4 linked regions of the Drosophila melanogaster genome follow. Changing the gene in region 3 together with the main gene of any one other region gives a genetic interaction. Each region holds a gene or a part of one and is shown on either strand. Other genes may lie near its edges.

Region 1 (4,986 bases), on a different chromosome or scaffold from region 3:
TAGTAGTACACACCCGGAGCGGCGTCCGCGAAAACAAAATGGCGACCGCGTCAATCGACTTTTTCGCCAAATGTTCTTTTCTATGCTAGCGTTATGGCTTACCTTTTGATGTTGGCTGTGCTCTTAATACTGGTAATATTTCTATTTTGCTGCTTTCGGCGTAGTAAATTTTATACAATGAACAAACGCTTGTGACAAACTACAGTTTCCGAGATCAATAGAAAACCGTACAAAAGTCTATGTTAGAGTTGACAGTGATACGATGACAGCACATTCATCGATGGTTTGATATTTGGACGTGTCTCAGATTTCTATCGACTAGACATCGCCGATATTCGAAAATGCTCTTCGAATTATCGAAATGTAGGCATACTGCAATTTACGCGCGCAACGCAAAAATTCAAATAATAGAATATTTGGCTCAACAAGACAGGAGACTTTAGATGGAAAAATAGAATCCACAAAAGCAAAACTATGGAATAACTAAAACCACTTTTCATAAATAGTACACACAATCGATTTATTTCGTTTCTTTTTGTATGGCAAAAATTAATACAAAAAATTAAATATTAAATGTATGTATGTATGTATAAAAAGCTTAAAGCAAACTATATAATGTAAATTTAATTGGCTGTTTGTTTTCTCTCCGATTGATCTGTCAGTATGGTAAGTAGAAAGAAAGGCAAATCTCAAGAACTCATACGGATTATAATTTCATCATCGTAGCACCACAGATATGTGTTTAACCGAACATAAATCTAGTTTGGGGCTAGCGAATTTACTCGTTTGTGCGAAAGTTGCTGTGAGCTTATCGGCTTTTGCTTGTTTGTTCTCTAATGATGAATACTAATGGAATTCTGCTCGTGCGTGTGTGCGAAAAAAGATTACATTTATGTATGACTGTCGGGTTGAAACCAATAGATAACAGGGCTGTAAAAATACACAATATTTGTTTACATCGCGTTTCGGTTTTAAGCACGGAGTATCTGTTGAAGTACAAACAACATAGAATCAAGTTAAGTGCTGGTTGAAAACAAACGGATATAGCAGCTGAACCAAGGCAGTTACAACAGTATTCATAGTTTTTATGTAGAGGTACATATTCATTTTCATTTTCGATTTGCTTCGTTCGTTTTTGTTTGCTTGTTATTGTTAATACTCTTAAAAGGGCGCCTCGCAGCCTTTCAAACGACACAAAACACACACATTCACAAAATCATTTCGACGTACATAAAACTCTAGTTACTTAAATTAATTACAATTTCTCTTCTTTTATCTGACAATTGCACCGACCAACACGCTCCCACATGTGTGTGTTTTTCGCATTGTGTGTCCAAAATGGACAAACCATCGAGCCCAGGACGATCGGCGATTCGCCGACGCACATACAGACAAACAGGCGACATTTGAAGAAATAAAAAGTGAATAATAACCAATGCGTGGCCGTTTAGAGCATTTTACATTTAAATCTACGATTCGGCTTGTTCATTTTGCGGCCCCTCCGCCCCTTGTTGTCCTTGTCCTTGCGGATTTCGCGCACCAGTGTGTAAAATGCATCGTCCACGCCCATGCGCGTCTTGGCGGATGTCTCAATGTATGGAATGCCGTACTGTTTGGCCACCTGAGAACAACCATAATTAACGGAATGTTCGCTCGGAACTCTGAAGGCCGGTACTCACCTCTCTTGCCTGCTCGTTGTTAACGTTCCACGAGGCCAGATCACATTTGTTGCCCACCAGCACCATGGGCACCTCTTCGGCATCCTTTACGCGCTTGATCTGCTCACGGTAGGTGCCGATATCCTCGAAGGACTTCGCACTGTTGACGGCAAAGACCAGCAGGAATCCCTCGCCAGTCCGCATATACTGATCCCGCATGGCCGAGTACTCCTCTTGGCCGGCGGTGTCCAGGATGTCCAGCAGGCAGGTCTCTCCATCTGCAGGGGAATATAAAATGCATTTGAATATCGCAACTTCTTAAGGTCTCTTCTAGTATAAACGGGAAACCAAACCAGCGAAAGGGTGCAGAAATCTCTAGAGTATTTGGACCTGTGCAGCCCTAGCTTTGCCAGATCTAAGTACATATAACTCACCGATAACCACTTGCTTTCGGTAAGAGTCCTCGATTGTGGGGTCGTACTCGTCCACGAAATGGTTCTGGATTAGCTGGATGGTGAGCGCGGACTTGCCCACGCCTCCGGCTCCAACGACGACCAGTTTGTATTCCGTCATTTGGCTGTGGCGTCCGTTTTCGATTTGCCGTAGTCAAATGTCACAGTAACAGTCTCTTTCTCGCGATCGATGCTTACTCTCTTGTGAAGCGCCCGCAGATGCAGTCTCTCTCTCCGTACGCTTGTTGCGTGTGTTTGTGTGGGTGACTGTGCGTGTATGGGCTGCAAGTGGAGTAAATTATTAATTAAGATTGATTAAAATAAATTAAACGCATAATTAGGCAGGAATTAATGCACGTCACTGAGTCACTGTGACTAGGCGCTTACTCGCACAAACACACACGCACCACTGCATGCACACAGCCAGACGGGCAACACAAAAAAAAATGGGAAAAAGAGATCAATGACTCAAACTAAAATTAAAACCCATTCGCTCAATGCAAATTAGTTAGTCTCCCCCATAGCCGAGTTGTTAACTAGGTGAATTTGCTAATTCGGCGGCGTTGTTTTTAGCCCTTTTCTTTATTATTTTTCTTTTGCCTGCCGGGGCTGCGGACCTTCTTTGTTGCTGCCTCTTCAGCTAGCTCCTCCTTGTTTTTCCGCTCCGCTCCTCTCTATCAATACTCTGCCTCTCTCTTCTCGCGCGCGGCGCAGTTGCTGGGCACGTTTCACGTCACTTTCGCGGCTAACGGTGCGACAGGCGGTACTCCTCGATGGCACCAATTTAATTGCCGTGCGGTAATTGCAATTAACAGCGCAGGAAAACAATAAATCCGTATGTGAAATGAAGATGAAATCTAGGCTGTACGTAGCTGTGAAGATACTAGAGCTGGCACCAAGCCGATGGCACTATCGATAGCGATGGCTGCATTCTGGCCGGCACCATCGATGGACTTGCAATAGCGATTGCTATATGAAAACTAATCTAAAGAGGTGGATGCACTTCAGTCGACTCTCTATAATTTGCTTAAACTAATAAATGATTTGATCAATACAGCTTTCTGTAAAAACTGGCAGACGCTTTCTGCTTTTAATAATTGTTAATTTAAGTTCAACGGGCTGGCATCACCGTTTCTTAGCACGGACTCAAGCCTGAGTCTATTATTTCAACCACCACTGTAACGAAAACAGCATGGACAGATTGAAATTCAATAATTTGGTAAATAAACGATTTTATTTAAAATTATAGAGTTTTAATTAAAAAGAACTTTTACAGGTGATATCCAACAAGAAGGTCATTCAAAAGGCACGCGCCCAGACCATCGCCAAAATCGTACAAAAGCTGCGAAAGACAAAAGAGGCTCTGGCCAAAAATCCAGACAGTGAAAAGGAAAAGATTCGTTTACGCAAGAACACAGAATGCCTGGCCCAGTTGAAGGCTCTAAAATATATGGATATGGTACGCCAGTCGCTCCTGCAGGAGGGCACAAATCCCAATGCGGTGATTGCTAACGAGCGCTCCACGCCGGATGAACTGGGCATTGCCATGCTGCGGCTAAACAAATTGATGCACGGACTGGTGGACAAGTTTGTGGAAACCTTGAAGCTGAGCACCACCGATAAGGAGGCCAAGTGGCGTGAGGAGATCCTAGAGACGAGCAAGCGAAGGGCCAAAATAGAACGCACTGAGGAGCGGAAGAGGAAGCGCAAGGAGCTGAAGGAGCAGAAGGCCCAAACCAAAAACCGACTGGAGTGGTTAGAGCAGAACAAAGTGGTGGATGCAGATGTTAATGGAGCAACTGCGGAAACGCCCACTCTTCAAGTCAGCAAAGTAAATGATCAGGAAATACCACAGTCTTTTGCAAAAACTGAAAATTCTCCAGTTCTCAAAGTCAAAAAGGAAAAGACACCTAAAACACCAGCCAAAAAAGAAAGAAACCTTCAGAAAAAACAAGCTTTTGATGAGCAGATCAACCCGGAGATAACTAAGCTCAGTTCCAAAAAGCAGAATTTAAATACAATCAAGGAGAATAATGCAGAGCCACAACTAGAAGGCAGACCGAAAGAATCTAAGCCAAAACCCTTCGAGAAAAAACCAGCCAGAGAGCAGAAGCCTAAGCCACGATTAGAAAGGCAGCCAAGTATCGATGAAGAAGAACCACAACTTGACAATAATCGTCCCACACATGTCGTTGATCCCTTCTTCATTACGGAATCAGGCCAGCCCTACTTGTCCAGCGCCGTGGTTCTTTCCGGGGACAATGACAGCGAAGCTGATGAGGAACAGGCACCGCCGCCAGTCAAAAGGTTCCGCAATGAGGATCGACGGTCGAACACATATCGGGAGAAACCGGAAAGACAGCCAGAGTTCAAAGCGAGAAAGCCAACTGATGATCGTCATCCCTCCTGGCTGGCTAAGCAACAGCAGAAACCAATCATTGGTGATTTTAGAGGCAAGAAGATTACATTCGGCGACGACGGCCAGGCGGCGGAAATTATTGCTCCAAGTATCAATCAATTAACCGCTACTGCTGCTCCTTTGCCCACCGATGGCATGCACCCGTCTTGGGTGGCCAAACAGAAGTTTAAGCCGAAAATTGCCGCGTTTCAGGGCACAAAGATTAAGTTTGACGAAGATTAAAGATGATGTCAATGGTATTTTGTTGTTTTAATAACTAAATAACTGCAGCTTTGCTGCTCACACGCCAACTTTGGGCACATAGTGACCACGAATCTTGTCCTCGTTGCGCAGCTTGTCCACGTTGACATCGGGGAACTGGCGACGCAGCACATCCAGATCGAAATTGGGGTTGCGACGCAGGATCATCATGACTTCGTTGCGGGAGCGGCTGCAAAATAACAATTTTTATTGAGAT
Region 2 (7,793 bases), on a different chromosome or scaffold from region 3:
TCGTCTTGCTTCTTGGCCGTGCTCCATTAAGTGAGGCTGATGGTTAACCCTCTGTGCAAGCACGTGATATATCTAGATCTTACAATATCATGTACATCGACATACCAGCTCAATGCTGATATATGTACATATATGTTTGCACAGATCATTGAATCAGATTCATTAACACTGCATAAAACCAAAAAGGTCTCAGAGCTTAGATTGAAACAATTCGTCCGATTTATTCCATAATTAATTAAGCTTTTCACAACTGAATTTATATAAAACAAATGATGTAATACAAAAAAGTAAGATACAAAACACAAAAAAGTAATAGAAGCTTTTCAAAAACTATTGTATATACAAATGTACATACATATGTATATGTATATAATTTTAAATCATTGATTTACCATTTCCGAACATTGAAAATTATAAATAAAAATGTGGTCTTGCACAATGCGAAAACAGATAACGACTAATGGGTTAAGAAGTGCACCGGAAGCGTGTGCCATCCGATCCCCGCTCTTACGGCCTGAGCAGTTCTACCTGTGGTTACCTGTTTGTCGCAGACGATTAGAAACTAATTAGCTGACCAACGCCGACATTTGCATCTCTGCCGAATGACGACACTCTTGGGCGGATTTACGATACGGGTCTGTTTGGCAGCCGGTTCGGCAGACTAGTTGTCGCGACGGTGGCTGATCGGATCGGATCAGCATTAGGTTTATGGCTACCCCGCTACCCGTAATTAGAACCCGTACTTAGGCACGGCGCTGACAGACCCCGATCGTCGGTCTAAGTAATAATAAATACGATTTTAATGAAATGCTAAAAGTTCATTTGGCTTATCTATGGGTTTGTCAACGATCCGCCACTTTTCGGAACTCAATTAGCTGCGGCTCGGGAATCGAAGATCGGGGATCTGTTCCATGTCAGTGTCATGAAGGGAGCTCGAACAAAGCAGCCACACAAAGAAAATGAAGCGAAAACCCGGGGATGCGAAGCCAAGCCGCTTACAGTGGTGCCGATTTCAAAAAGCAATCGAGCAACCCCTATAAATCACAGGGGGAGGTTTTAAGTGCACATAACACATAAAAAGAAATAAAAGCAGTGGAAAACACTGCGCAAAAAGTCAAACACGCTTTGCTACTTATGATCGCCATATGTGCAAGGGAAATCGGAACCAAGTACAGTCTGTCTTGGCTAAAAACAACGATGAGATGGTCTTCAATATGGCATCCAATATTCTAAATTAGATACACTATTTTCTTCTCTTTTGATAAATGTTATTAAAGTTCGTTATTTGAGCATTTCAATTTGATATTGAAATTATGATAACATTGTTAAATTGTTAACAACTTTAGACTATATGAACTATTATTTAGTGTTATATCATATTATAAATCATATTTTTGTAAATATTTCTTATGCACACCATGATTATGAGTTTCATACAAATAATTTGTTATAATAAATAAAAATCGTATCTACATATACATATGTACATGTAAAATTGTAGAAATATAATAATTAATTTAATTCCTGTTAGCCAGAGCCCACTGTATCACCAAAACACCACCCCGGGAGAACCTTGCCAAAAATTAATTACACAAAGTAAACAGCGCAGGCGCCCTTAAGTATGCCGCGCATCCTCGCCACGTGAGCGAGGGAGACGGTGCCAATCCGTTGTCCCTCTTGCTCGCCTGCCTGCTCGAACGTGAGAAATCAAGTGCCGCTCGGTTCGTTTTCCCTCAGTTCACGCTCCCGTTCTCAGTTCAAATTCATTCTCTTTCGAATCGTCGACGCGAACGGACGTTTAAAGTGAGAAAAGAAACCGGTAAATCAGAGATCCCAAGCAAGCGCGTGCGTGCATGATAGCGAAGAAAAAAAGCTATCCGTTTCAGTTAACTACTTACCAAGATTGAATTTCGCCATCGGGCAAATTACTAAAAATACATAAGTGCAACTCGTCCACTGTGTGTTGTGTTTTTTTTTTTTTTTTTGGTTTTCGCTGTGCCTTTATCGCAAACAAGAACTGATAAAACTAGAAAATATCTTGAGAAACTTGTTTTCGCGCTTTTCTTTTGCTAATTGCCGATCGCGGAAGAGAAAAACAAGCAGTAGACAAAACAAGTGTGGTAATACAATCTGAAAAGGGCACCATCAGCAGCCCGAGGGGTTTATCTATATAGATGTCGCAGCTTATCATCTCATGCTGTCTGTGAGGTTGTTCTGTGTGCTCGTGTAGTATCTTAAATACATAGAGTGTGTTCATATAAAGTGCGACAAAGCTCGATTGGAAACAGCTGTCGAGTGCCCTTGAGTGGGTGGGCAAGATCGTCATCATCATCATCGTCGTCATTATCAACAGAATCAGCATCAGCATCTGGAGGCCCCGGTTGCTCTAAGATCCCCAGTGTTCATCAATTATGACTGCCGAGACCCTCAAGCCGTTTATAACGCCAACGAGTGCCAACGATGATGGTTTTCCGGCCAAAGCGACCAGCACGGCGACCGCCCAGCGACGCACCCGCCAGCTGATCCCCCTGGTTTTGGGGTTCATCGGTCTGGGGCTGGTCGTTGCCATTCTCGCACTAACGGTAAGTTTTCCTTCACAATCATTTACCCAATAGCAGCCCAATCAGGTATTATTGCCCATTTGGATCGACTATCGCGATTCTAAACACACCAATTAGACTCTGAACTGAATGAAATCGTACTACAAAATTTTCATTAAGATGCTATTAATTGATAACATTGCGTCTCTATCTGCCTACTTAAGATAACAAACCATGCTTAAAGATGTTTAATTAAGGTGGCACAAATCATACTTAGTATTGAAATAATTACAAATAAATAAATAGTATAACATATTTTATGTGTGTTTGAGCGTCGTACAATCTCTTCAGTCGCATTTTATGTTTTTAATGTTTTTTAGCACACTAAAATCGTCAAATGTGCTGAATAGATTTAGTTAATGAATATAATTTGAAAAAGATTAAAGTAGTCACCTCCAAATTGAAATAGCTATTCCATACTTGAATGCCTTTTTTTTTGTTTGTTGTGTGCGATTAATGATTCGTCGGAATTCCAAAGGTGTGGGTATATCAGTTATTGGTGGGAGTTTCCCCAGAATATAGATAGGAATGAGTTGTTATGGGCTATGTTGTTTAATGATATTTTGGGCGCCAAAGTGGGCCAATCATGATTATATGGCCGTTTTAATGACTGTTTCGAAACGAGTGTAAAGGTATTACACTGATTCTTAAACTAGACTTTTGTAGAATTTGTGTTTTATTGTGTTTTTAGTGTTTTATTTTGGTAGTTTAATTTATAATTTTGCTTAGTTATCTCTCCAAAAACCATCACAACGACAGTTAGTTTTATCTGGAAAACAGATTGCACCAATAAAGTAATGAAAGCATAAAAACAGAGAGATTCCATTCAGCCATGAACCGCCTTCTAGACTCTGAACAGACTCCTATTTTTCGGAAATGTTTATTTCAGTAGCTTGCCAAAATAAAATGCGAATAAATATAAATGCAAATTGGACTTTAACAACGTATGTGTATAGACACCCCCGAAATCGCAATCTAAAAATGAATATTTAACCTTTGGCACGCTTCGGCTTATAAAGCTGTTTGTCACAAAGTCTTTGTTGATGCCAAATTAAAGACGAAATTCCGCGGATGCATAAATTGAAATGAAAACAGACTTTATGATCCGTGACCGTCGCAGATAGGTTAACTATAATTTGGCATGAAACTATATTTAGAGCGGGAAAAACGGCGGTTTCTTGGCTGATCAAGCGATGTCATCACCGACACGTCTTTAGGCCAAATCGGTTCCTAATGATCCAGCTAATCCAAATAAAGCGGATGCAGATGCTAGAGAAATGTTTATCGGTACATGTCTGTTCTTCCCTTTTGTTTTTGTTCAACCGATTTAAATGCCACTGAGTCCGTTCTGTTATGCATTCGATAAATCTTCGACTGGGTTGTTGTGTCATGTTTTTCCCTGATAACTTTGCGAATGAGTGTGCTCGCTGAAATCCGGATTTGAATTGCAGAAGATTAAGTTTGTGGACTTGAATCTGGTCCTTCTCTCCCACCCCCATTTCCCCCCCCCTCACCCAGGACTCCTCCATGACCCACTCAACTTTGGCTTAAGTGAACGGAAATCGTACAATTGACAATTGACTTGTAAATGATTGGCTTCAGCCACTGACGTGGGCCTCAAGTTCGGTTTTCCTCATAAATCTCCGTTAAGCCATGAAGCATTTTTCGTTGTTTAATTCAATTTCACTGACATTCGTACAAAGTAACCCTCATCATTTGGGGCCCTCTAAGAAAGTGACAAACTGCAGGCGCTGCGATCGATCTACTGATCGCCGATAAGCTCTAATGGAAAGTGGTTCACTGGAAACTTAAACAAGTTTCTTGGGTCTGCGTAAAGTCCATAATTTATACAAGAATTCAGTACAAGTTGTTGTGTGTACCTACATGTATGTACATGTGTATATTTCCCCGTCTGCGCGTACAGTGGCTTAAGTTGAGCCATTCTTTTCGATTTCGGCTGCCAGTCGAGACTTGAGAAGTGTCCGTATATAAGGCCTCTGCTCGGCCCGAATGTTAATGATCCATTAAGCAGATTATGTGGCTGAGTGGCGATCGTACGTACCCCGCCGTATTTCCCCACGAAATCTTTCTCGTCTCGCCTCTATCAGTTTGTTCAGTTAGTTTTTATATATTTTTCGGGTGTCAAAAGTTCGCGGCACTGGGTGTTATATGATGTGCCGGGCCTTAGCACCAGCTATAGATGTTTAATTGGGGCTACGTTAAATTGATTGCCCAATTGCTAATGAGCGGATGATTAGAAACGAGCCTGAATGAGTGTGTAACAATTGAATTATCTTATCTTGCAGATCTGGCAGACAACGCGTGTATCGCATCTGGACAAGGAGCTGAAGAGCCTGAAGCGAGTCGTCGATAATCTCCAGCAGCGTTTGGGCATAAACTATCTGGACGAGTTCGACGAGTTCCAAAAGGAGGTGAGCAATTGCGTAAATCACTTTCGAGCATCAATATTTGTACTCGGCGATGGGGCAGGGGCTGTAACATTTGCCCCGGGCAAATACAGATACCTCGAATTGTTTACAAAGTCGGAAATGATTGTTATTCCTTGAGGCTGGTACTTGAGTTTTTAATGAGGGTATATCGAACTTTTGTTATTGAGTATCTATTATGTTTAGTTTTCTTTTTGCCTAAAGGGTAATTTGCATTTTATGATGGCAAACTCTGGCTAGGGTATCTCACAGTCGGTAAGCCATGCGCCTGTTTTTGAAAAAGAATGCCTCAAAAAAATGACCAGACGTAATATGTGGTTATTGTGTGGGACATACAAAAATATTTATAGAATTATGTGCTAAAATATAATTTCGACGCTGTTTCATCTGTTATTTGTTTCATTTTTTTTTGTTAGCTGCTTGGCCAAAGGCACATAGAAAATTGTGATAGATTATTTGAATTATAATGTCTCTTTCCGCAAGGAAACACTCATTTCAAATATGAGGCGCCAGCCAGTTCACGTAATTTATGAGATACAAATCCCCAAGTGACAAAAGGTAAAAGCCCCAATAATTCAACAAAAATACTAGGCTCTATCAGTAGATATAGTCGTTCAAGGCGAGCGATCGCTTTTGGCTGTATGTGACGATTGATCGAATCTCATCAAATGGCCTAATGGCCAGAGATGGTTTTAAGATTTTAAGATTTATTTATATTTTGATGGCTGGGCATCTGTGGTGCCAATTCTCTTGAGAGTTTCCTTCGCTTTTAAATATATGTATGATGTACACAAGTATATGTATACGAGTATCATGTTTTTGAGCGAGGCGCCATCAATTAGGATGATGACGAAACAGCCTGTGCTGCGGGCGTGTGTCTAAAAATGAACGTCCCAAATGGATGTGAGATATGTGCCAGGACTGTGCCAGCTGCAGTCACGTACTTGGCCAAGTCTTCTGACCCAAAATGCTGATGCCCATCCCTTCGTTGCAGTACGAGAATGCCCTCATCGACTATCCAAAAAAGGTGGATGGCCTCACGGATGAGGAGGACGACGACGATGGCGATGGTCTGGATTCCATTGCGGACGACGAGGACGACGACGTTAGCTATAGCTCTGTGGATGATGTTGGCGCAGACTACGAGGACTACACCGATATGTTAAATAAACTCAACAATGCACATACCGGCACCACGCCCACATCTGAGACCACTGCTGAGGGCGAGGGCGAGACGGACAGTGCATCCTCAGCCTCAAATGATGACAATGTGTTCGATGACTTTACCAGCTACAATGCCCACAAAAAGAAGCAGGAGAGGTGAGCACGGATGAAATTTTCAGGGATTTATCGTATTAAGCCTCTGCTTTTCCTCTTCACAGAAAATCTCGCTCGATTGCCGATGTACGCAATGAGGAGCAGAATATTCAAGGAAATCACACAGAGCTTCAGGAAAAGTCATCCAATGAGGCAACTTCCAAAGAGAGGTAAGTAGAACGTTCCGTTGAAAACAGGCAAGAAAAACCATTAATGAAGTTATATGCTATGGGTTAAAGATAGATAGTTAACTGCGTAACTGAAACACATATGTATACATTTTCTTTTTACTTGAAGCCCTGCACCACTTCACCACCGTCGCAGAATGCATTCCCGCCATCGCCACCTCCTAGTCCGCAAAGGTGTGTAGTGTAGAAAAGCGAAACAATTGGCAAAAATCGAATACCAAATCTCTATTCGCACCTCTGTTAATTTGCAGGTGAATCTCTTCTTTCAGCCAGATCCGAGGACTCGAGGCCAGCAGCCCATTTCCACTTGAGCAGCAGGCGGCGTCACCAAGGAAGTATGGGTAAGGAGATGCTTCCGCGTCAAGCGTGTACATACAAGTACTACAGGCAACCTAATGAAGTCACTTCTTGAATTTCTCAGGCTACCATGGAGATATGTACATAGGAAATGATAACGAGAGAAACTCTTATCAGGGACACTTTCAAACGCGCGATGGCGTCTTGACGGTGACCAATACAGGCCTATATTACGTATACGCCCAGATATGCTACAACAACTCGCACGACCAGAACGGATTTATCGTCTTTCAAGGAGACACTCCATTCCTGCAGTGCTTGAACACGGTGCCCACCAACATGCCACATAAGGTGCACACCTGCCACACGAGTGGTCTGATCCACCTGGAACGAAACGAGAGGATCCATCTGAAGGACATTCACAACGATCGCAATGCAGTTCTGCGGGAGGGAAACAACCGAAGCTACTTTGGCATCTTCAAGGTGTAAATTGGAGAGATTATCCCCGGTCAGAAGATGGAATACCAGTTTAAGCTTTTGTCCCCGCGACTGCTCGTGAATGCGATTCATCGCCAGCGTGAATCCATTAGTTCGTAGTACCTAGTCTTAGTCACTCCAAACCTAATCTCAATCGGAATCGTGCATACTGCATTAGTCAGAAGACGGAGGAAAATCATATTTATTTTGTATATACTCGTTCGACTCTAAAAAGTGAATAAAAATATATGTAGCTATTACCCGCTTGTGTAAGCGTGTTTAAGAAACATCAATTGAATCAATTGCTACCAGTTGCAATTGAAAATATTATAATCTTCTAAATAATGAATATTCGTTCTTAGTATAATTCGATTCAAAATGCTTCAAATGCTTTCAATTCAAATCTCAAATGAAGAGCCATTCAAAGATATCCCTCAGCTTTATTTGTGCAATTCCAGCTTACTATG
Region 3 (5,513 bases):
ATGCGGCAATTTGCGTTCATATCCCTGAAAATATGCACTTGGCATTAGCAACGGAATGTTGAAATAGTTATCATACTCACTTGGATTCCTTGATTACTCCATAAGCTGCCTTTAATCGCTCCTCCAAATCGTTCATGGTGAGATTGGGGGATACGAAAACATGGGCATTGCTCAAGACATCGCGACAAATGGTGCCATTGTAAATATGGCAAATACCTGATGATTGCTGGAAACTGCAGGGCAAATAATATATTGCATTTTTAAGGATTAAAAGGATAAGGGCGTCTAAAGATTTCTGCATTCGAGTATACACTATGTTTAGTAATTTAAAAATATATAAAACATGTTAAGCTCATGATTTCATTAATTATTAATTCCACACAAAAGTATTTCGCTAATTATTGTTGCGGAAACTTGGGAAAACTTTCAGTGAAAATACCTACCCATATATTCTTGAGTCCACATTATGGCTCCCCACATCCTTTTTTGTAAATAAAAGCACGAGCGAAATGCAGACTATAAATGCCGAGTATTTGTTCATATTGCTTAATCTAGCTAACAATATGAAGCCTTTTGTTATTTCAATAGTCCAATTGACATGCCAACGATTCCGAAAATATTTTTGTATTTATCCTTTCGCGAAAACTTTATGTGGCATACAACATTTCATCCCCCGACGAAGTCGTTGGGGTTGTTGACTCCTTATCGATGAATCGATATATTTAGGAGTGCTATGACTCGGAACAAAGGAATTACACTATAATTTCTTATAATTAATAATCCAAATATCTTCAAAAGCTTTATTTATTTTATTAAAGATGGTTGTATAACGACTTTAGTCTCATTTAAAGTACACTTTCCCTTTTCACAGTGAAATAAGGGTAGAAAAATTATGCGAAATACACAATAATATGAATTTAACATTAACAATGTATTTGGTTAAAGCATTTATCATAATGATCTAGAGATTATCTATTGCTTTCGGTGTTCCAATCGTAACTTATCGTTACTCCATGCTGTCGACAGTTTCCTCGGTAACAAAGCCCACAATGCTAAATGCAGTTTCCTCGCTGATCCACAGAAGTCCCACGATTAGTGCCTCCAACACTCCGATGGCAGCACCGGCGCAGATATCCAAAATATAATGACGCTGGAGGATGAGCCGTGAGATGGCCACGCTTACAGCCCAAGCTGTGACCGGCATTAGGAATATGATGTGAAGCGGATACAGCTTGGCGAAGAACAGCAGCACAAAGAACGCCCGGGAGGCATGACCTGAGGGAAAGCTGAACTTATCGGGTCCAATGGTCAGCATATCCTTGCTGGCCACCGGTCGCCTGCGACGAACAAGCGCCTTCAGCACGGCCACGATCACTACGTCGAGTATCAGGCCGAAGAGCATATTGACTTGCATTTGATACAAGCTCTTCGAGCTGAGCAACCAGATGAAGGCGATCCATGAGACAAACCAGGCGATTCCATCGCATGATATCTCCAGAAATCTGCTGTGGATCCGCAGGGATTTGAAGAACGACAGATTGGAGACGGCTACTACAAAATGCTTCGACACCTGAACATCCTTCTCCAATAGGTATTTAAGTGCTGGTGATGACTGCAAGGACAAGATTTTAAAATTAGCACTTATCAGCTTATGTGATTCATCAGTGGCCAAAAACCAACCGTCCTCATATCGCTGTGTATTTCAACTCTTTTGTTTTTATTTATTGTTAGTGATGACAGTATTTCTCATTCGTCATTCGATGTATACTCGATAAGTCGAGCAAAGGAATATCTAATGACCGGAACGGTGAAATGAAACACTGCGCCAACTTAGTTTTTGGTCTTTATTAAATAAATTGCATTTGTATATGTTTATTTGTAAGTTATTAACACTTATTAGGTTTTAAACCCCTAATTAAACCTAATTTTAATCAAAAGTCGATTGGCTGACTTTAGCCGTTTCTGGTTTTGGTCCTACTGCAATCTGGTCACATCGATTTAAGTAACTTTGTTGTGATCGAATATTCCAATAGATTTTCGTATATTGTATTGTATCCATGTACAATTATTCTCATGCGAAAGTGCCGCAGATAGTTGATTCTTAAATTTCAATAACATTAACATAGTTTAAAATGCTCGCCACTTTGAGTGCCCAGTGTGTAGAATAAAATAGAAAAAAAATCGATTTTATATTTTCACAAGAAATTCTGTACTTCTTCGTTAAATGGTAAATAAATATTCTATTACGTTCCATTCACATCAAATATCGAATCACCGAAACACTCCTGCAAAACGTGCCATAATCGATTGAAAGCAATTATAGTTGTGCCGGTTATGAAAAAAATTATTGATATTTAACATAAAATGTCAACTGCCCAAAGAGTGTATGTACCTATGTATGCGCAAATGTCTAACGTTTACATATCGACACTACCCGAAGCGTAGACCGCTTTATTATCTGCAGCGCAAACGAGCGCTTTTTCGATGTACGAATACGGGGAATATCTTTTATCTGAGAGATAGTTTGAAAAGTTACTAAATTATCGACCCACATTTGTGTGGCTGTATGTGCATATGTATGTATGTGGCTTACATCTTACACATATGTATACCAGTAGAAGTTTACAGTTTTCATCCGCATACAAATCGTGTGTATGTACATATTTACACAGGCAACGGCATGCATACACATGAACGCTATGTACATCGCTGTGGTCCAACATTCCGTACTTTTATGTTTAAGCCGGACATATCGATTTTAAATCGGTTTTTTTTCCTGTGCGTGCCGCTAAACACTTTGCTCAAAGAACGAAACGCTCGGTTATTTCTGTTGGGTGTTTTTCCAACCATATTCGACATGTGTTCGGCAAACATTTAAATGCTTATCAATAGAAAAGGGGGTTCGGCATTCGAAGTCGGCTCAAATAAGTGACTGCGTTATGCAATTGTATCTTTTTGAAGGAACTCGATATTTTTTGCTCGTGGTTTGGCAACAAACTCGCCACACACTAGCCAGTAAATTTCACCCCTCGCGACAACAGAGACCCACTTAATGGCCATAACATTCTGCCGAAATAAGGCCAGGCAAAGTTAATGTTTTCCTACCCCCTAATTCCAGACGAAGTTGTCTGAAAACTGCCTCCACCCATTCAGAATGGAGCCATACATACGGACGTCTTTGCTCCTTATATAAAACAGAATCACACTGTAAAACCGTATTGATTTATCTTATTTACCCTCTTGAAAAGGCCGATATGCTCCTTGCTCTCAACTAGTAATAAATAAAATCAGTGAACAATGACGACAGCTCAGCACCAACACTACACCGTCGAGGTGGGGGACACCAACTTCACCATCCACAGTCGGTACATTAATCTACGGCCCATAGGATCAGGTGCCCAAGGAATAGTATGGTAAGTGGTTATCAATATGTTATTACATATAATACATTTAACAATTTTTTGGCTTAAACAATTAAGATATTTCGCATGAGTATGAAGTCATATTTGTAACGCTCCATTGTATATTAGATTAGATTAGATGGGATTAGCTGGAATATGAAAAAAAAAAATAACAAATTTAATGCATTTCAGCGCCGCTTACGATACTATCACCCAGCAAAATGTGGCGATTAAGAAACTATCTCGACCATTCCAAAATGTAACCCATGCCAAGCGAGCATATAGGGAATTCAAGCTAATGAAGCTTGTTAACCATAAAAACGTATGAAACTTGCACCTTTAACTTTAACAAATTTCTACTAAACATAGGTATTTAATCCGTAGATAATTGGCTTACTTAATGCTTTTACGCCGCAAAGGAACTTGGAAGAGTTTCAGGATGTCTACCTGGTCATGGAGCTGATGGACGCTAATCTCTGCCAGGTCATCCAAATGGACTTGGATCACGACAGAATGTCCTATTTGCTTTATCAAATGTTGTGCGGAATAAAACATTTACACTCAGCAGGAATTATTCACAGAGTACGTACAGTATGAATACATCTTTAAAATGAGTATGAAATATATGAAATACTTCATTTGCAGGACTTAAAGCCATCCAATATAGTTGTAAAGGCCGACTGCACTCTAAAAATTTTGGATTTCGGTCTGGCACGTACTGCAGGAACTACCTTTATGATGACTCCCTATGTGGTCACCCGATATTACAGGGCTCCAGAGGTCATTTTGGGCATGGGATACACAGAGAACGTGGACATATGGTCCGTCGGTTGCATTATGGGCGAAATGATACGGGGCGGTGTGCTGTTTCCTGGAACGGATCATATAGATCAGTGGAATAAAATTATTGGTATGTTGCTGCTTAAATAACTTGATTCTCGTTATGATTGTCAACTTTTACGTTTTTTCAGAGCAATTAGGTACACCATCACCCTCGTTTATGCAACGGTTACAGCCAACCGTCCGAAACTATGTGGAAAATCGTCCTAGATACACTGGATACTCATTTGATAGACTTTTCCCCGATGGCTTGTTTCCAAATGATAATAATCAGAATAGCCGCCGGAAGGCTTCTGACGCTAGAAATCTTCTTAGTAAAATGCTAGTCATTGATCCAGAGCAGCGGATATCTGTGGACGAGGCTTTGAAGCATGAATATATCAACGTGTGGTATGATGCTGAGGAAGTGGATGCTGTAAGTGATTCTGGCATAAACTGGATTTCTAGGAATGTTGAATGTTTTTAATCGCTTAATTGCATGCATCTCTTGCAGCCCGCTCCGGAGCCATATGATCACAGCGTGGACGAAAGGGAACACACTGTGGAGCAGTGGAAGGAGCTAATCTATGAGGAAGTCATGGACTACGAAGCACACAATACAAATAATAGAACGCGGTAGAGAACGACTTTTTCCTCCTTAGTCAGTCACAAGAAAACTAAAGCTTACCAACAATACGGCGTGTATTGTTAAATTATTACAACAAATAAAATATTCAAATTGTATTTAAAAATATAGTAACCATTAAAAAATAAAATCAATATGCGAAACTTTGTAATTTCTTACTCATCCTTGTTTTTTGAGCCCGCTTTCTTAAGTTAAATCGTTAAAATACCAGTTTAATCATTTCATTGTCCTGATTTCAGGAGCTAATTACATTTTAATCTTTGTATAAATTCATAAAATTTAAATGGAAAAGTTTAACCATATAAATTATTTCGGTATATAAAGTCGATACATACTTTTAAAATTTTGTTTCATACAAGAATATGGAAAGTAGATAATTTAGTTACCGATAAAAACATTTCTAAAATACAAAAAATTTAAAATGATGATTAAATAAAAAACTGTTATACTAAATTTAAACGAAACAAACGGTCATTCGATAACTCAATTAGTATCGAATAAGCCGGCGTGTAAATCGGGCTGGCAACTCTCACCGGTGTAGAGATCGGGATGGCAACTTCGTACTGTTATTCCTATGCTGCGATAACGATAACAGCAAAGTGTCATCGCGAATAAATGTGGGTTTGATAATAAAGAATTGCGTTGGT
Region 4 (4,238 bases), on a different chromosome or scaffold from region 3:
ATTTTAGAGTTTAGTTGCAACATGTTCAATAAAATGCTTTTATTCTATTTACTTCTATATATTTATATTTTATTTTCATGCTAACCATAAATACTTCTTTCTCGGTGTAGAACCAGAAGTGAGGAGCTCCGGGAATCGGTTATTTTGTTTCAAGCTGATTTAGATTATTTTCGGTTCTCGACTTTCGCCGAGATAAGCAAAATAATTCGTTCTTCGGCGTTGATAAGTCTGTCTCCGTTGTGGGTACAGTGAGCACTCGAGCGAGGGCCAATGTCGGCCATTGACGAATGGAGTTTGATAAACAATCAAGAATATTTGAATGCGTGAGCTATGTAAGTAAGTATATGTGCTGGTGCTGCGAAGATCTTGGAGAAGAAAAGAGCACTCAGATATCTTTTCGATGAGTGATTCGACTTAGCTAAAACTAGTTTTACGCTCTTTCCCACTCATAGTTCCCTAATATGCGCAGATCGTTTTCTAGTATTCACTACATATGATATGTCAGAAGAATATAAGAAACATATCACAATAAATAAACCAAAACTCCTTTTATTATGCTTTATTGATTTCCATTGAAATAGACACATTTATATAATTATCTTGGCTTCGTTCATGTTTTTTGTTTTTCTTTTGTTTCTTGAATATCTGTCGTTTAAAATACAAAGTATTCAAAGTTGCTCAGTTTGATGCCTTTAATTCAGTACATAGTATACGAAGGACTTTTCATCTTATACATACATGTATATATATTGATAGTTCCTGGATCTAGCAAAAGTTTAAAAAGTTGTTACTCGCCCGCGCCGTCGCTTCGATATCCAACAACATCTAAATACAAGTATGTAATAATGTAAGTGTAATTGCAATGGAACGTTTACTTTACTGACTCAATATCCTGATCCCTTCCGCAGGACCTTCGATCAACATCTATGCGACATCTATGCTTTATGCTCATTATGCGGCTATTCTCGTACTTGTCTCACATTTTTTTTAGGTTTTTCGTTTGTTTTTTTTTTTTTGTTTTGTTTTGTTTTTGGTTTTACCTCAGTTTTACAACATTAATTTTAATTACAAAAGTTATTAAATAATACAAAATACAGTTAGAGTTTACAGTTCTCCATTTCGTCTAGAAACATCTCGCTTTTAACTTTTAGTTGAAATTAATGCACGAATAAACAGAATAATTGGATTATGAATTACAGAACACTCGAAACAAACTCAGAACTCGGAAACGAAACAAAAGCAAGAGTTGGGTTGGGTTGGGTTGGGGGAATCCCCCCCTAGCAGCGGAAATTAGTGGCAAAATTGTAACAAAGAAACTACGGATGAGCCATTTAGCCTGGCCACGCTTAGGTTACATAATGGTTTTATAGTTAATAATATTACGTTTAAGCAGAGTCCGTCGGTGGAACACCACCGACCAACTGTCTAACTCTTTTAGAGCAGGGCGCACTTGCGCTTGGACTTGGGCTGCAGCACGGGGCACAAAACCGACCGGATGGCCTCGTCGAAAACGGTTTTCAGACCCTTCTGCGTCAGGGCCGAGCACTCCAGATACTTGACCGCTCCGATTTCCTTGGCCATGGCCAGGCCCTGCGGATAGGTGATGGGCGCCAGTTTCTTGTCCCTCAGCTTTTCGATTGTGTTCTTGTCGTCGCGCAAATCCAGCTTGGTGCCCACCAGGATGATGGGCGTGCTGGGGCAGTGGTGGCGCACCTCCGGATACCACTTGGCCCGCACGTTCTCGAACGATGCCGGATTCACCAGCGAGAAGCAGATGAGGAAGACATCGGTCTGGGGATAAGACAGTGGCCTCAGTCGGTCGTAGTCCTCCTGCCCGGCCGTATCCCACAGGCCCAGGTTGATGGGCTTGGCGTCCACCATCACGTTGGCCGAGTAGTTGTCGAACACGGTGGGTATGTACTCGCCGGGAAAGGCATTGGTCGTGTAGCTGATCAGCAGGCAGGTCTTTCCCACGGCTCCGTCGCCCACGACGACGCACTTGATCGCCTGCATGGTTCGATTTCCTCGACTTTCTGGACTGGAGTGCTATGTGCCTAGAGATTGGAGATTGAAGATTGCAGATTTCTGATTGCGGGGGTGCTTCTTCTTCAGGCGTTTTTGGTTCTTTTTGGGGCGGCGGCGGAGGACTGTTGCTTGCGTGGGTCCTTTTGCGGGGTTATCTCTGGAAGCGCGACTCCTTTTCCAGTGCCTTGTGGTCCTCGGGGCGACTGATGATCGCGCCTTACGTTCTGGGCCTCTTTAACTCGCGTTTTGTGCGTTAATTTCCCTAATTTTCTCAACAAAAAAAGTAAATTTTCTGTGTACTGCAGTGTGACCGCGGCTGGACTGTTCAAATTTACCATGGGAAAGCTGTAAAATACTAAAACAAATTAAAACTGCATTGAAATGGTCACCCTAAGATTTGTAAATTATTTCAAGGCTTCGTCCTTAAAGCAAACATAAAACCCTTAAGTTTCGCATTTACTTATAATTAAATCCGAATTACAAAATATATAATTTCATTGTCTTCCTGTTTATGTCAGTGATTTGAAGTGAGAACAAGCTGTTTTTAGTAGGGCTGGGCCCCAGAAGTGCAGCTTCTGGGCTTTGGCTGCACCTGGTCACACTTCTGGCAGCAAATAATACAATTTCGAAAATTAGAATTTATTTGCTGCTCAATAGCCAAGTCAATAACACCTGTTCCTTGCCCATCCAGAATGTCTGACGTGTTCATCGTGTCCGCCGCCCGCACGCCCATTGGTAAAACCAAGATAAATCGGCTGCACCATACACGATAACCACATTCTAATTGGAAACTTTCTCTTCGTGTTTGTCCAATCTGAAAAATCAACAGGTAGCTTCAATGGAACGCTTTCTAAACTGAAGGCCTCCGACCTGGGCAGCGTGGTCATCCAGGAGGTACTCCGGCGGGCGAATGTGGAGGGCCAGGAGGTCAACGAAGTCATCTTGGGCCAGGTGGGACCCATATCATAACTGTTTCTCCTCCTATCTTACCGATCTATTTGTTATGTAAATATCTTTGTTAGGCTCTAAGCGCCGGTCAGGGTCAGAATCCAGCACGTCAGGCTTCACTCAAGGCGGGTCTGCCCATTCAGGTGCCAGCCTACGGCATAAACATGCTATGTGGTTCCGGCTTAAAGTGAGTTTGTCCCGTACAATTCCGTACATTTACAATGGTTTTTACCATTTCCAGAACTGTAGCGCTGGGTTACCAGGCCATCCGCTCGGGAGACGCACAGATTGTTGTGGCAGGAGGTCAGGAGAGCATGTCCCTGGCTCCACACGTCATGCATCTGCGGCAGGGCGTCAAAATGGGTCCGGGCACTATGGTGGACTCGATGATCCACGACGGCCTAACCGATGCCATGGAGAACATACACATGGGCATCACTGCCGAGAATCTGGCCGATAAGTATAACATCAGTCGTGAGGCCCAGGATGCCTATGCCGTGCTGTCGCAAAATCGAGCCGAGGAGGCCCAAAAAAAGGGTTACTTCGACAAGGAGATTGTGCCCGTGGAGATCAAGGATCGCAAGGGTACGACCACATTCAGCAAGGATGAGTACATCAAGGCGGGCAGCACCGTCGAGGGTATACAGAAGCTCAGGGCAGCCTTCAAAGAGGTGGGTCTAAGATAAATACAAGAAGAGCGAGAGTTAACCCACTTTCTCTTGCTTATGTAGGGCGGCTCTATAACCGCTGGCAATGCCTCAGGCGTCAACGACTCCGCTGCTGCCGTACTACTGATGTCCGGCGAGGAGGTGGCCAGGAAGGGTCTTAAGCCGCTGGCTAGGATTGTGGGCTGGACTCAGAGTGGCATTGAGCCAAAGGTGATGGGACTGGGACCAGTCACAGCTGTGGAAGCATTGGTAGTTACACGGAAATTCCACTTCTATACATGCTCCTAAGTTTTCACATTTTTCAGCTTCAAAAGATTAACTGGAAGCGTGAGGAAGTGGATCTTTACGAGCTGAACGAAGCATTCGCCGCCCAATCACTGGCTGTCCTGCAGGACCTGCAGCTGGATGCTCAGAAAGTAAATGTCAATGGCGGTGCCATTGCCCTGGGCCACCCGATTGGAGCTTCAGGTGCCCGTGTCTTGGTCACTTTGCTCTATGCGCTGGAGCGCACCGGTGGAAGAAAGGGAATCGCATCGCTCTGCATCGGTGGCGGCATGGGAATCGCCCTGGCCGTGGAGCGCCTCAGCTAGTCTTAAT

Evidence for each region.
Region 1: of bsk (region 3) and Ras85D, changing one suppresses a phenotype caused by changing the other (phenotypic suppression), as found in Drosophila melanogaster (4 studies listed by BioGRID).
Region 2: of bsk (region 3) and egr, changing one suppresses a phenotype caused by changing the other (phenotypic suppression), as found in Drosophila melanogaster (8 studies listed by BioGRID).
Region 4: of bsk (region 3) and Rac1, changing one suppresses a phenotype caused by changing the other (phenotypic suppression), as found in Drosophila melanogaster (4 studies listed by BioGRID).

What each region holds. Positions count from the first base shown.
Region 1 is NT_033777.3:9,510,061-9,515,046, forward strand, and holds Ras85D (Ras oncogene at 85D), read right to left. Parts: upstream 3,008-4,986; 5' UTR 2,728-3,007; intron 2,393-2,727; 5' UTR 2,232-2,392; coding exon 2,093-2,231; intron 1,937-2,092; coding exon 1,680-1,936; intron 1,622-1,679; coding exon 1,448-1,621; 3' UTR 501-1,447; downstream 1-500. Other genes in the region: Rlb1, read left to right, coding at 3,303-3,329, 3,387-4,751; mRpL47 (mitochondrial ribosomal protein L47), read right to left, coding at 4,809-4,959. UniProt on the Drosophila melanogaster protein: Ras proteins bind GDP/GTP and possess intrinsic GTPase activity. Plays a role in eye development by regulating cell growth, survival of postmitotic ommatidial cells and differentiation of photoreceptor cells.
Region 2 is NT_033778.4:10,076,601-10,084,393, forward strand, and holds egr (eiger), read left to right. Parts: upstream 1-1,765; 5' UTR 1,766-2,411; coding exon 2,412-2,582; intron 2,583-4,012; exon of another isoform or gene 4,013-4,094; intron 4,095-4,187; exon of another isoform or gene 4,188-4,324; intron 4,325-4,587; exon of another isoform or gene 4,588-4,725; intron 4,726-4,906; coding exon 4,907-5,032; intron 5,033-5,652; exon of another isoform or gene 5,653-5,722; intron 5,723-6,041; coding exon 6,042-6,367; intron 6,368-6,429; coding exon 6,430-6,534; intron 6,535-6,661; coding exon 6,662-6,726; intron 6,727-6,803; coding exon 6,804-6,893; intron 6,894-6,973; coding exon 6,974-7,338; 3' UTR 7,339-7,610; downstream 7,611-7,793.
Region 3 is NT_033779.5:10,246,995-10,252,507, reverse strand, and holds bsk (basket), read left to right. Parts: upstream 1-2,006; 5' UTR 2,007-2,227; intron 2,228-2,765; exon of another isoform or gene 2,766-3,248; 5' UTR 3,249-3,297; coding exon 3,298-3,413; intron 3,414-3,593; coding exon 3,594-3,723; intron 3,724-3,785; coding exon 3,786-3,983; intron 3,984-4,046; coding exon 4,047-4,311; intron 4,312-4,372; coding exon 4,373-4,656; intron 4,657-4,734; coding exon 4,735-4,860; 3' UTR 4,861-5,006; downstream 5,007-5,513. Other genes in the region: Ror, read right to left, coding at 1-24, 81-233, 444-541; CG31717 (uncharacterized protein), read right to left, coding at 1,007-1,612, 1,681-1,689. UniProt on the Drosophila melanogaster protein: Mitogen-activated protein kinase and key component of the c-Jun N-terminal kinase (JNK) pathway which phosphorylate and activate transcription factors involved in a wide range of biological processes including response to various stresses, cellular proliferation, differentiation and migration, and regulation of cell shape.
Region 4 is NT_037436.4:1,300,334-1,304,571, forward strand, and holds Rac1 (Rac1), read right to left. Parts: upstream 2,351-4,238; 5' UTR 2,014-2,350; coding exon 1,435-2,013; 3' UTR 546-1,434; downstream 1-545. Other genes in the region: Acat2 (Acetyl-CoA acetyltransferase 2), read left to right, coding at 2,718-2,760, 2,855-2,976, 3,048-3,160, 3,215-3,644, 3,705-3,890, 3,947-4,231. UniProt on the Drosophila melanogaster protein: During various developmental processes, regulates changes in cell morphology in response to extracellular signals.